3 linked regions of the Nothobranchius furzeri genome follow. The protein of the gene in region 1 interacts with the protein of each later gene in a biochemical or structural test. Links are inferred from orthologs where the notes say so. Each region holds a gene or a part of one and is shown on either strand. Other genes may lie near its edges.

Region 1 (3,741 bases):
CTCTTCCACGGGTCAGAGATGTTTAACTCAAACTGCTCATGTTCATGAACCAGGAGAAGGATTTTTGAGCAATAGCAGAGTAACAAAGGGCTTTTGTCCAGCAGCGTTCTCTGTAACATCATTAAATGGTAGCTAACGAGACCAGCGGAGGTCAGCCTGAGGTCTGGAAGACTTCAGAGTCGACTGATTGTAGAACAGCGAGTAAAAGATTGAAGCCTCGAGGAAGGTAATTCAGTAGTAGTTGGTCTGTTCTGCATAAATAACAATCCTTATGGACGATCTCTGCTAAATCCAACGTCAGAAGAATACATAACATCTAAATGAGGTCACACTGTGGCCAAAGTCTACAGCCAATAGGTTTAGGACTTAAAGGGGCATTATGGAAGTTTGACAGCCAAAACATGTATAGAAATAATAAATGTCTTCTTCATACATTCTCCTGCAATGCCCTGGTCCTGTAGAATGAGCCCTGGCATTTTTACTGTGATTGCCTGTTTTTCTGTAAAATCACAGAAAAAGAGAGATGCTCGGGTCGAGCAGGCTGCTTCATGCGCGTTCACGCTCAGGCATCGCCCGTAGCATTTGCTATCCGTAGCTTTAGCAGCAGAGAGAGAGGCAGTGCCACTTTGTCGCTGTTCCTAACGCCTAGTGACAAAGCTAGCTACATTTCTGAGGACCCTTAGCTACTTTCTGTAGAACTTTCTTCTAGATATTTCCTGCAAATTAACAACAAAATAGCCATTTTCACTCCGAACTGTTCTTTGGTTTGACGTTGTTTCAGCTGTCATCGAGTATGTAAAAGTTACAGATACAGTGAATGTTACTAGAGTGTAGCTCACCTTGTAAGACGTTGGACTCTCGTGCAGAAGACCTGGGTTTGATTCTGGGTGTGAACATAGTTTATTTAGAGTTTCTTTTTTACATTAATGGTATATTTTTTTACAGTAAGATGCCCAAATTTTTATTTGAGACTCGCCGAACGGCATTGAATTCACAGATAAAAAAGATGTGGGTTCAACTTTCATTTTGGAACAATTTTTCAAGCAAGGGAAGGGAATGATCTGAGCATGCAGGAGGACTGACCCATCATAAACCTTTGTTGGCTGTGCTGAAGAGAAAGGTACAGAACCAAATAATTTAATTAATTAGCTGCACGTTCTCCTGTCCTCTGTCCTCCGGGCCCCCCCCCACACACACACACGCACGCACGCACACACACACACACACACACACACACACACACACACGCGCGCGCACGCACACGCACGCACGCACACACACACACACAAGGGACTGTCTCAGCTGTTATTTTTGTTAAGGAGTGTGCACGTACAGCATGCGCGCCTCGTGCACGAGCCTACTATTGAAGCTGCCGTTACGCTTCTGTCCTGAGGGGGCAATCACGAGCATAAAAATTAAAAACTCTGTAAAGTCCCTTTAAGGATCATTTTGCAGAAACACAAAGATTTTCAAAAAATAATCATACAACTTGACCACAATGTTCCAAAACAAACCTCTAAATCCCCATCAGACCTTCTTAAGGTCATCCCGCGGCTTTCCCGATCACCAAAACATCACCAGGAAACTATGGACGCTCTTCAAAGAACACACAAGACAGCACAAGAATCCCAGAGCCTCAGGCCTTTTTTCTCCTTTCAGAAAGATTAGCTAAAAATCCCCTTTGAGGACATGTTTACAACCCATTTGATTGTTCAAAAGTAGTTTTTTCCTCAAATAAAAAAGATAAGTTAGTTTATGTTATAATTAAACAAAACAAACATCCTGATTCATTCTGCTGCAAATGACCAGCAGATTATCGATGCTTTCTAGTCTTTTTGAGCTTTTTTCTCAGCAGCTCTTTGGGTTCCAGATTGGCAACCTTCCTGATTCAGCCCTGCTTCTGTAAATTCAAGCAAACGCCACCCTGAGGGGTTTGATTTAATTTAAAACGAACCCATCCAAACCCTGCTGGGTCTGCTGCATGCTCCCAGCCAAATTAAACTTCACTGTGATGAAGCTAAACATGCAGCAACTCCTTAACTAAGCTCCCAGTAGAAATATGAAGCAAGCAGCAATGTGGCAATGCTGTAAAACAAAGTCATTTTGCTGAATAACAATAGAAGCATGTTGTCTCCTTCACACTGAACCAGTCCTGTTCTAACACCACCATCTTCTGCTTTCCTCTCATGTTTCCCTCCAGGATCCCGGACCCTCGCCTCCATCCCCCGTTCTGGGTCAAAAACCGCTGCAGCTCATTGAGTTGAAAGCCAGGGGGCGCTTTGGCTGCGTGTGGAAAGCCCAGCTGCTGAACGAATACGTGGCCGTGAAGATCTTCCCAATTCAGGTATCCTCCTGGATTTTGGAGTCACTTTGATCAAGGCTTTCACATCTCGGGAATGCTTGATTTATGGAAAAACATCCTCAATAGAGCATCATGTAGCTGTCCTAAGCATTTGTAGAGGGCGCATTATAGTCTTTAATAGGATCTGTATGAACTTTAGTCGCTTTTAGAGCTAAATACCTGCAGAAATACATATTTTTAATGCAATTAAGCCTTTTGGCAGACTATTTGTGATTTCTGACTTATGGTAACTGGTAGCAGAGTTGAGCTTTGTTATTCAGGTACAGCATTTAGACAGACTGAGGATATTTGACACATTCATTGGTGCACAATGACCCCTACTTGTTGGTCACGCAGACAACATGGACAGACGGTGCTGCTATGAAAGCAGAGAAGAGCTGCTGCTGCAGCAAAGGACTAGAGTTCCAAAAATGGAGTCCGTTCATTTCAAAAGGATGGTTTAAAATAGAACCGATTGGTAAAATGTCACTGGGTGCTAGCGATGGGTACCGAATTCTGTACTTTTTAAGGTACCGACCGAATTCCACAGTACCGACTGATACCGATTCACGTCATTTGAAACGGTGCCTCGTCTCGGTACCCGTCCTTCATAACGAGAACTTGCCTAGACAGCTGCGCATGCGCAAGAGCGTTATGTCGTCGGTCGCTGCGAGCGAGTTGTAAACAGAGCAGCATGGTAGAAAGAACGCACGCTAAAGCTTGGGTCCACTTCACTAAATGTGATGGGTAACTGGGTGATGATGAAACCAGCGACAACGATCTAAGTGAGACATCCTCATCTTAATCTGCTCCGGTAGGTAAATAAAATGTTTAAGATAACGTTAGCTTGATATGTTAGCTTCCGTTCCGCTAATGGTGCGTTCGATTTCTCCTCGGAACTCTGAATTTCCGACTGGAAGAACACGAACGTGCTCTAAAGTTTGGCTTCACTTTACTAAATGCGACGGGTGATTGGGTGAAGATGAAACCAGCGACAACGATCTAAGTGTGAGGCATCATCGTTTCAATCTGCTCCAGCAGTTAAATAAACTGTTTAAGATAACGTTAGCTTGATTTGTTAGCTTCCGTTCCGCTAATGGTGTGTTCGCTTTCTCCTCGGAACTCCGATTTTCCGACTAGAAGAACACGAACGCGCTCTAAAGTTTGGCTTCACTTTACTAAATGCGACGGGTGATTGGGTGAAGATGTAACCAGCGACAACGATCTAAGTGTGAGGCATCATCGTTTTAATCTGCTCCAGCAGCTAAATAAACTGTTAAGGATAACCTTAGCTTGATATGTTAGCTTCCATTGCCACCATTGTTATCAGCTAATGGTGCGTTCGCATTCTCCTCGGAAATTCTAACTTCCCAGTAGGAAAAATCAAATGAAAAAGGACG
Region 2 (4,315 bases), on another chromosome or scaffold:
ACCTTCCGTTGAAGGGGTTTCAGGTAATGGCAAAGAAATGTCAACAGGTGCGCCATATTGGACGGATGACGTCAGCTGGGAAGAGCTGCAGGTTTAACAGGTTAAAAGCAGTTTAGGGTTTACATTTTTCAAATGAATTGATTTTTTTTCTTATCCGTGGCAACAAACCTCAAGTTTGATCATTTAGAAACTTGATAGTTAATTAACACAACTGTCCTTTAAAAGTGATAAAAAATGATATTTTGTTCATATAACAGGAAATTAAGAGGTTGAAAGGAATTGGTTTCGTCATATTTATTACAAATTAACCCTTTGATGCATGAATTATGAAATCTTCAACCATGATTTTTTAAACTTTTTTTTCATTCATCTGTAGGTGTGAATGAAACAAATTTCAGCAAATATTATTTGTAGTATTTTGTTAATTTACAAATAATTTATTACATGTCCATCTCAGGGGACAGCGTGCATTCTGAACACGAAATATGTTGGCTTGACTTACTGAAGTCCAAATGAAGGAGCTCAATTGCAATAAAGTCTTCAACAGCTGTAAAATAAACAAATAACAATTTTGAATACCTGTCCACTGTATAGTGACCATTATGCATCAAAGGGTTAATGTAAAATTATATGATGAAGCCTGTTTATTCTTTCTATTTGGTTGATTTAAGTAATTCCTTAATAACGTGTTGTGTTTGCTAAAAGGAAAAAACTGTTAATAACTGCAAATGTCCCACATAGTTCATTTTTCTCACTACATTTTGCATTTTGATCATTGGCAACCTTTTGAATCTCAAATGCACTGAATCTATTTTGGCAAAACAAACAAACAAAAGTACTTGTTTGTCAAAAGAAGCAAACAAAAAGTACTTTTTTTTCTTCAAATATGCTGAGTACACATTCTGAGGGGAAATACTTGGTTAAAAATTGTAGTAATAAACTCAGCTCATAAACTCCTGCCAGCTCTTCCACCTGTTCTTGGTGGTCCTGTTACAGATTTTAATCCAAATCACATTTGTAGATGTTTGCTGAAGGGGAGAGGAATAAAGTTTAAACAGTTTTCCATTGTGAAGTTAGAAATGAGGGATTTTTCTCCTGCGGGAGTTACGCACAGGAAGTGGTGCGGTTTGGACAGATGACTGACAGCCCAGTGACATCACTGTAGGACAAAAAGCGTCGCAGGGGAAAGAGAAGGCACCAATCAATAGACCCGCTCCGGAGAGCTCTCCCTCTCCGAGCACCAACTTCACTGCGCTCATCTCTCCACGAACATCGCGCGACGCTCCACGTTTCTCCACTTTCAGCTTTTCTTTTTTCTAATTTTAAAAATGTCCAGACAAGCTTCCTCGCACTTAGTTCGGCTATGCCTGCGCGCAGCCGCTTCCTCGTAGACTTAATTTTTCTACTTTTTTTCTTTCCTCTCCGGACTGAGCAAGACCCGAACCCGACGCGCAGCTGGTGAGAATATGTGCGAGAAGCGATCGGCGGAGGGCGCGGGCTGTTTTCGGTCCCCCAAGCAGAAGCAGCGTGGATTAAACACGAATTAATGTGGAATTTATCGGAGCTTAAAGGTGGAACGACGACCGGACACCGCGCGTTCTCGTCAGGTAAATCGCTAGAATAAAGAATAACCATCGATGTGGAGGTTTTAACCTGAATCCGCACTTGGACTGAACACAGAAAGGTCACTTCACAAGTGACAGCTCATTTGTTTCTAATAATAAATTCGTGCGTAAAGCCTCCGCCTGTTGAGCCACGGAGAAACAGAAAATGAAAATAGAGGTAAAAGTTGTCTGTGTGGAAGTTGTTTGACTCCGTCTGTGTTTCTGATGCCTGGCTGTGGGGCACACGTCAGATCTAACACCTGCAAGCCTCTTGAAGTAACTATCCTTTATGATTACATGCAAACAGCGCGCAGTGGGACTGGAACTGATGCGTGTTCTTCCTTTGATCCTTCTCTCTGCATGGACTTTCATATCTGCAACAAGATCTCTTATCTCTTCTCGCTGGAGACCTTTTGTCTGCAGCGTTTCCCTTCAAATCCTTTGATTTGTCTGTTTAATCCACCTCTGTCATTAGTTTTTCACCTTGATATTTCATGTTAGGGTTCATGTTCAACCCAAACTAGAGGAGCAGTTTAGCCTCTGGGTTTTTCTTTCTTTCTTTCTTTCTTTCTTTCTTTCTTTCTTTCTTTCTTTCTTTCTTTCTTTTTCTTCTGCACTTCAAAGTGAAGAGGTGTCTCCCCCTTTTTAACCTGCTCCCCTTCAGTTTTACGCTCTGAGGGGGGATTTGGGAACTGCTGCCGCGAGAGCCTAGCTGGGACCACCTCACGTCAATACCACATTGCCTGCCAGTGTATTGACAGAAACCAACTTTCTCCACAGGGACTGACTGATCATGGTCGCCGTGGTCCGCTCTCTCATGGTACTGATGCTCGCTCAGGTGCTGCTGGAAGGTGCTGCGGGACTCATCCCCGAGGTAGGCCGGAGGAAGTACAGCGAATCCGGGAAACAGACCCCTGAGCAGTCGGAGAGCTTCCTCAACGAGTTCGAGCTGCGGCTTCTCAACATGTTCGGGCTGAGACGCAGGCCGACCCCCAGCAAACAAGCCGTGGTGCCCCAGTACATGGTGGACCTTTACCGGATGCACTCTGCGAACGGAGACCACAGCACTAAGCGGCCCAAGAGCATGGGGAAGCACGCAGAGAGAGCCGCCAGCAAGGCCAACACGATTAGAAGCTTTCACCATGAAGGTATATATTAGTGACATACCTTTACATGTCTCTCTCAGACAGCGCAAACCTATATTTAAACATGACTCAGATCGTCAACACTGAACTTCAGAGTCTTCCCTGTTTTCTGAAGGTTTAGTCATTTACAGATGACATGCTCCGAAGGTATTTGCAACCTTAAAAAATGCTTTAACTTAAAGATTGATGCACAAAAATCACATCAAAGTTGACTTTTCTCACCTAAGCAGCAGTGCAACATTTAGACAAACATCCCTCCAGCACAGCTGTCACAGGCTTCAGAAACATCAGGGGCGGCGGTATCCCCGGGGTCATTAGTTTCTTAATAATTGATGGTGTTTGCGTGGGATTCTGAAAACTGTTTTTCCAGACACGCACCACGGGAGCAGCATAAAGGGCGGTGCGCCTGTGCGCAGGTGATAGACGTCACCCTGCAACTTCAAAAAACAACCGACATCAGAGCAACACACACGATGACGAAGTCACCGTGTCAGACTGAGTCACCTTTAACAAGACTCAAATTAGCTCTTGGTAACGCCGTAGAGGAGGCGTGGCTTCCCTTCTTCCTGTTGCTTCCAGTTGTGCATCATTACGCGTGAACCAGTTTGGAGAAGACAGCGATAGTTGAACTACAAGTCTCAGTTCAGTTGAATTTAAAAACCTATATTTAAACATGACTCATTCACCTCTCGGATGAAAATAAACGTTTTGCAGACTCTGGATCAGCTGTTAAAATGTGGATTTAAACAGTATTTTAACAAAGTAAATGATGCTTTGTTTATAACAGCTTTAAAAGCAGGAGCACTCGATGTTTACGTTTTTGTATAATAAACATCTTATTCCCGGTATAGTAGATTTGCACATCTATTTATCTTAATGTGACCCACGTTGCTGGGTCCATTGGGGCCCTGCGCAGAGTCCTCATACAGAGTCCTGTGTTTGAGTGGAGAAGTTTCTTTCCATCAGGGGTGAGTCAGAGGGGTGGTTGAGTGGTTGCTTGGGTGCTCTCCAAAGGCCTAGTGCAATGACACCAAGTGGCTACACTGACACACTACAAACAACCCTGAGCAGCAGGGTTGAGTGACTGCTCCCAGCTCACCGCTGGAAACCTCTGCACTCAGCCAACACACGTTGACATTTACACGTCTTCTCCTGGCTCTTTTCGTCCTATGCTAACAGCCGCGCGGTTATTAGGCTTCCCGTATCGCGTCGAGGGATTGTTCCCCCTGTAATAAGCACGGATCTACAGATGTTAATGCAGCACATCAAAGCAAACAGCTCCAAGCCTTCGTCACGTCTGCCACGCCATGCTCCTTTCGCTCGGACAATTGGTTTTCAGGAATAACTCGAGTCAAATAGAGCCTTTCCACCGTAGCACAGGACGCAGCTGCCAGAGATGGCCGATCCAATATTAGCATCTATCTTTTGTTTTGGCGAGTGGCACAAAAATAAAGCTGTGGAAATCTGTGGTTCGCGTGCTTTTGACAAGCATAAACTTGTTCACACAGCAGTTCCAGACCGAGATCGAGAACAGTTGCAGAAAGGAACTGAGAAAACGGTGACAGA
Region 3 (4,526 bases), on another chromosome or scaffold:
TTGAAGTAGTGAGTTTTCAGGCGTGATTTAAAAATGCTAGCTGTTGGTGCTTGCCTCACTAGCAGTGGTAACGCGTTCCACAGCTTCGGTGCACAGACAGAGAAAGCCCTCTCTCCACGGCTTTTTGGAACATTTAGGAGGAGCTTATCTTCAGACCTGAGAGCACGCGGCAGGTTGTAGTAATGGACAAGTTCACACAGATATGGAGGAGCTTGATGGTTCAAGGATTTGTAAGTGAGAAGCATAATTTTGAAGTTTATCCTGAACTGCACGGGCAACCAGTGGAGAGATTTCAGAATTGGAGAAATGTGTTGTCTTCTGTCAGCTCCAGTCAGCAACCTAGCTGCTGAATTCTGGACCAGCTGAAGTCTAGAAAGAGCTGCTTTACTGATGCCGTATAAGCAGGAGTTTGAGTAATCCAGCCTTGAGGTGATAAAAGTGTGGACCACCGATTTACCACCAGGATTTACCACCAGGATTGGATTGGATTGGATCTTTGTTGAAATTTAAATATTCTGCCTATATCTGTCTGTTGCACCCTCTGTAGGTAAAAACTACGCTACCCGGCCTGGGCCGACCCGGTACAGATGGGAATGGCCCATAAGATGTATACTATGACATCAGCTAGTACCATATGATGTCACAATGTTGTGAGCCTGTGTGTACTTGTTAGCGGTTCTGCCTTCTCGGTCTGCCAGCCAACTGCATTTGTTGCATTTTTCAAACAGGAAGTTGGAGTGGAGTAAGACTCTGGTAAGGGGTTACTTGCTCTTTAGATGGTTGTTTCTGAGTTGTAGTCGTTTTTGAACTGGTAAGTAGAAGATACGTATGCACATCGCCCCTTCAAGAATTTGTTTCACCATTTGCACTGGTACTGGATAATAAAAACTGGTCAATGAGTTAACTTTTATTATTATTATTATTATTGCCAGAGAAATTACAGTTCACATTAGAGAAATGTGACAAAGTCAAGTCATGCAAAGGGTTTAATTCCTTGCAATAAAATGTACTTACAGCAGGGGGCGCTCTAAGGTAACATTGGGCCAAATGTTGCAGGCAAAAAGTGTTTATATGTAAATGAGAACTTTAAATATCTTTCTACTGCTCAATTTGTTGAGCTGCTGTTTTAATTCTGCATAGAGACGCGTTTTAAAGGGTAACCTCCGTTCCGGGCGGCCGTGGACAGTCGGGGCCAATCGCTGACGCCGTCTGGGAGAGAGAGCGAAGCATCGTCGAGGGGCTCTGAGCGATGGTGGGAGAGCGACTTTCTGATGAGCTGCCTTTTGCGTGTAGAGGTCGCAGAGAAGAAATCTCCCCTTCTGAGCTCCTCCAGCCTCCGTGTAGCTCACTTCCACCACAGCTGCGCCTTTTTTTGTCACTGATTAAACACGGAAAGAAACATGACTGAAAACATCTGGGCGCGACAGACTTCAGAGGAAAGGCTTTCCCTCGTTCCGAGGTCGTTTTTGCCTTTTGTATTTCCTTGATAAATTCTCGTGGACATTTTGGATCTTCTTTAATGTTCCGTGATATTGTTCGGATCGGATACGGAGGATTTTTGCTCCGATTTTTTGGCTGTCCCGAGTCACTGGGAAGCTAAGACTTTGAAGTGTTTGGAAACAGCTGGAGACGTTAAGGAACTTGAGGGCTTGCGGGGGAGAAATGTGCGCACTGGGCCACCTTCGAGCAGCTCTTTAAGTGGGCAGCCTTAGCTAACGGCTAACCTAGCCAAACTCCCATTTTAACCAACAAACCGACTCTGTGATGATAGCAAATGCTTTCGTCCTGAAAACATTATTTGTATAACTTCACATTTTTCTCCACTAACTGGACATCAGTTCATGCCCCACGGAGTCGACGTGAATTGAGGTAAGTGTCTTTGTTTGCGCAAGTTCTCGCAAAATGCTAACGTTGGTGCTAGCTGCGCCGAAGCGTTCTGGTCCAACGCCGATGCTGTCCGACTTGAGTTTGACTTCTTATTTTAATCATTTTAAACTACAAAACTGTTCCGTTAAGTTCTCATAAAAATGCTGATGTTTGGTGATAATTTAGAGCTCATTTGTAGCTTAATGACACTGGGTTATGGCTTATGTATCAGCTTTTGGCTGTGTTTTTATCAGATCCACATCTGTGCTCGGCTGCTGCTTTGCTTTGTAGCTGTTTGCTGTCAGTCAGCCATCCATCCATCAGTTTCAACGCTGTGTTGAAAGCTGTCACCATGTTTAATGTCACCCACACCAACAGTCATTATTCCAATAGCTTGTAGCGAAAGTGTTTGTGGAGGGGGATTACAGTCGTCGTGCTGTACGTGTTTTTACTTTCATCACGTTACTAATCAGATTACTTAGAAAAATAGAGATTAATCGATTTTTTTATCTTGATTTTAAATGGGTCAGGCTTTCTGAGGTAAATGTTCCCCTCTTTTTGTTTCAGTCTGATGCTTTCAGATGTAAACGCTGAGAGTGTGTAGCAGATTGTGACCCACATTTGTGTGTTTTAAAAATAAAAATACCACACACCTGACTGCTGTTGAGAAGGGACGTGTAGTCAGAAGATGCAGGACCTGTCTGCGTGTGAATCAGATGATTCTTACAGACAACTTTAAACTGAAGCTTTTCATTTGATGCCTAGCTTATCAGCTTGTTAACAGATTTGGCTTCACAGACCATCCTTACTCTAATGTAAACAAAGACATGGAGCTATCAGCTGCAACTTGTTAAGGGATAAAATCTTTGACCTGATGAGTCAAACTCAGATAAAGTAGTAAGTTCCAGTGGGAAAATTAAATGTATCAAAACAGTAAATAAATTGGCAGTATTTACTCCAGATCACATTGCATGTTACTGAAGTCAATAACATTGATTGTGTTCTGTCCAGCATAATTAGATGGATTAATGTTTAGATTAGAACATTGATTTAGAAATGTTTGTACAGGCCCTTCTCAAAAAATTAGCATATTGTGATGAAGTTTGTTATTTTCTGTAATGTACTGATAAACATTAGACTTTCATATGTATTAGATTCATTACACACAACTGAAGTAGTTGAAGCCTTTTATTGTTTCTAAAATTGATGATTTTGGCATACAGCTCATGAAAACCCAAAATTCCTATCTAAAAAAAATTAGCATATCATGAAAAGGTTCTCTAAACGAGCTATTAACCTAATCATCTGAATCAACTAATTAACTCTAACACCTGCAAAAGATTCCCGAGGCTTTTAAAAACTCCCAGCCTGGTTCATTACTCAAAACCACAATCATGGGTAAGACTGCCGACCTGACTGCTGTCCAGAAGGCCATCATTGACACCCTCAAGCAAGAGGGTAAGACACAGAAAGAAATTTCTGAACGAATAGGCTGTTCCCAGAGTGCAGTATCAAGGCACCTCATTGGGAAGTCTCTGGGAAGGAAAAAGTGTGGCAGAAAATGCTGCACAACAAGAAGAGGTGACCGGACCCTGAGGAAGATTGTGGAGAAGGACCGATTTCAGATCTTGGGGGACCTGCGGAAGCAGTGGACTGAGTCTGGAGTAGAAACATCCAGAGCCACCGTGTACAGGCATGTGCAGGAAATGGAATACAGGTGCCGCATTCCCCAGGTCAAGCCACTTTTGAACCAGAAACAGCGGCAGAAGCGCCTGACCTGGGCTACAGAGAAGCAGCACTGGTCTGTTGCTCAGTGGTCCAAAGTACTATTTTCGGATGAAAGCAAATGTTACATGTCATTCGGAAATCAAGGTGCCAGAGTCTGGAGGAAGACTGGGCAGAGGGAAATGCCAAAATGCCTGAAGTCCAGTGTCAAGTTCCCACAATCAGTGATGGTCTGGGGTGTAATGTCAGCTGCTGGTGTTGGTCCACTGTGTTTTATCAAGGGCAGGGTCAATGCAGCTAGCTACTTCATGCTTCCATCTGCTGAAAAGCTTTAAGGAGATGAAGATTTCATTTTTCAGCACCACCTGGCACCTGCTCACAGTGCCAACACCACTGGTAAATGGTTTACTGACCATGGTACTACTGTGCTCAATTGGCCTGCCAACTCTCCTGACCTGAACCCCATAGAGAATCTGCGGGATATTGTGAAGAGGAAGTTGAGAGACGCAAGACCCAACACTCTGGATGAGCTTAATGCCGCTATCGAAGCATCCTGGGCCTCCAGAACACCTCAGCAGTGCCACAGGCTGATTGCCTCCATGCCACGCCGCACTGAAGCAGTCATTTCTGCAAAAGGATTCCCGACCAAGTAGTGAGTGCATAACTGAACATAATTATGTCAAGGTTGACTTTTTTTTGTATTAAAAACACTTTTCTTTTATTGGTCGGATGAAATATGCTAATTTTTTGAGATAGGAATTTTGGGTTTTCATGAGCTGTATGCCAAAATCATCAATATTAGAAACAATAAAAGGCTTGAACTACTTCAGTTGTGTGTAATGAATCTAATATATATGAAAGTCTAATGTTTATCAGTACATTACAGAAAATAATGAACTTCATCACGATATGCTAATTTTTTGAGAAGGACCTGT

The links. The genes of interacting proteins can lie anywhere in the genome.
Region 2: the proteins of activin receptor type-2A (region 1) and bmp2b form a complex in vitro, tested with the Homo sapiens proteins (3 studies listed by BioGRID and IntAct, with this or other methods). The link is inferred for Nothobranchius furzeri from reciprocal best matches to the Homo sapiens genes ACVR2A and BMP2.
Region 3: the proteins of activin receptor type-2A (region 1) and erbin interact in a test that uses a peptide from one of them, tested with the Homo sapiens proteins (2 studies listed by BioGRID and IntAct). The link is inferred for Nothobranchius furzeri from reciprocal best matches to the Homo sapiens genes ACVR2A and ERBIN.

What each region holds. Positions count from the first base shown.
Region 1 is NC_091743.1:85,836,093-85,839,833, forward strand, and holds part of activin receptor type-2A, read left to right. Parts: intron 1-2,200; coding exon 2,201-2,344; intron 2,345-3,741. UniProt on the Homo sapiens protein: On ligand binding, forms a receptor complex consisting of two type II and two type I transmembrane serine/threonine kinases.
Region 2 is NC_091742.1:22,693,035-22,697,349, reverse strand, and holds the start of bmp2b (bone morphogenetic protein 2b), read left to right. Parts: upstream 1-1,429; 5' UTR 1,430-1,607; intron 1,608-2,384; 5' UTR 2,385-2,397; coding exon 2,398-2,752; intron 2,753-4,315. UniProt on the Homo sapiens protein: Growth factor of the TGF-beta superfamily that plays essential roles in many developmental processes, including cardiogenesis, neurogenesis, and osteogenesis. Induces cartilage and bone formation.
Region 3 is NC_091746.1:65,311,349-65,315,874, reverse strand, and holds the start of erbin (erbin), read left to right. Parts: upstream 1-1,640; 5' UTR 1,641-1,869; intron 1,870-4,526. UniProt on the Homo sapiens protein: Acts as an adapter for the receptor ERBB2, in epithelia. By binding the unphosphorylated 'Tyr-1248' of receptor ERBB2, it may contribute to stabilize this unphosphorylated state.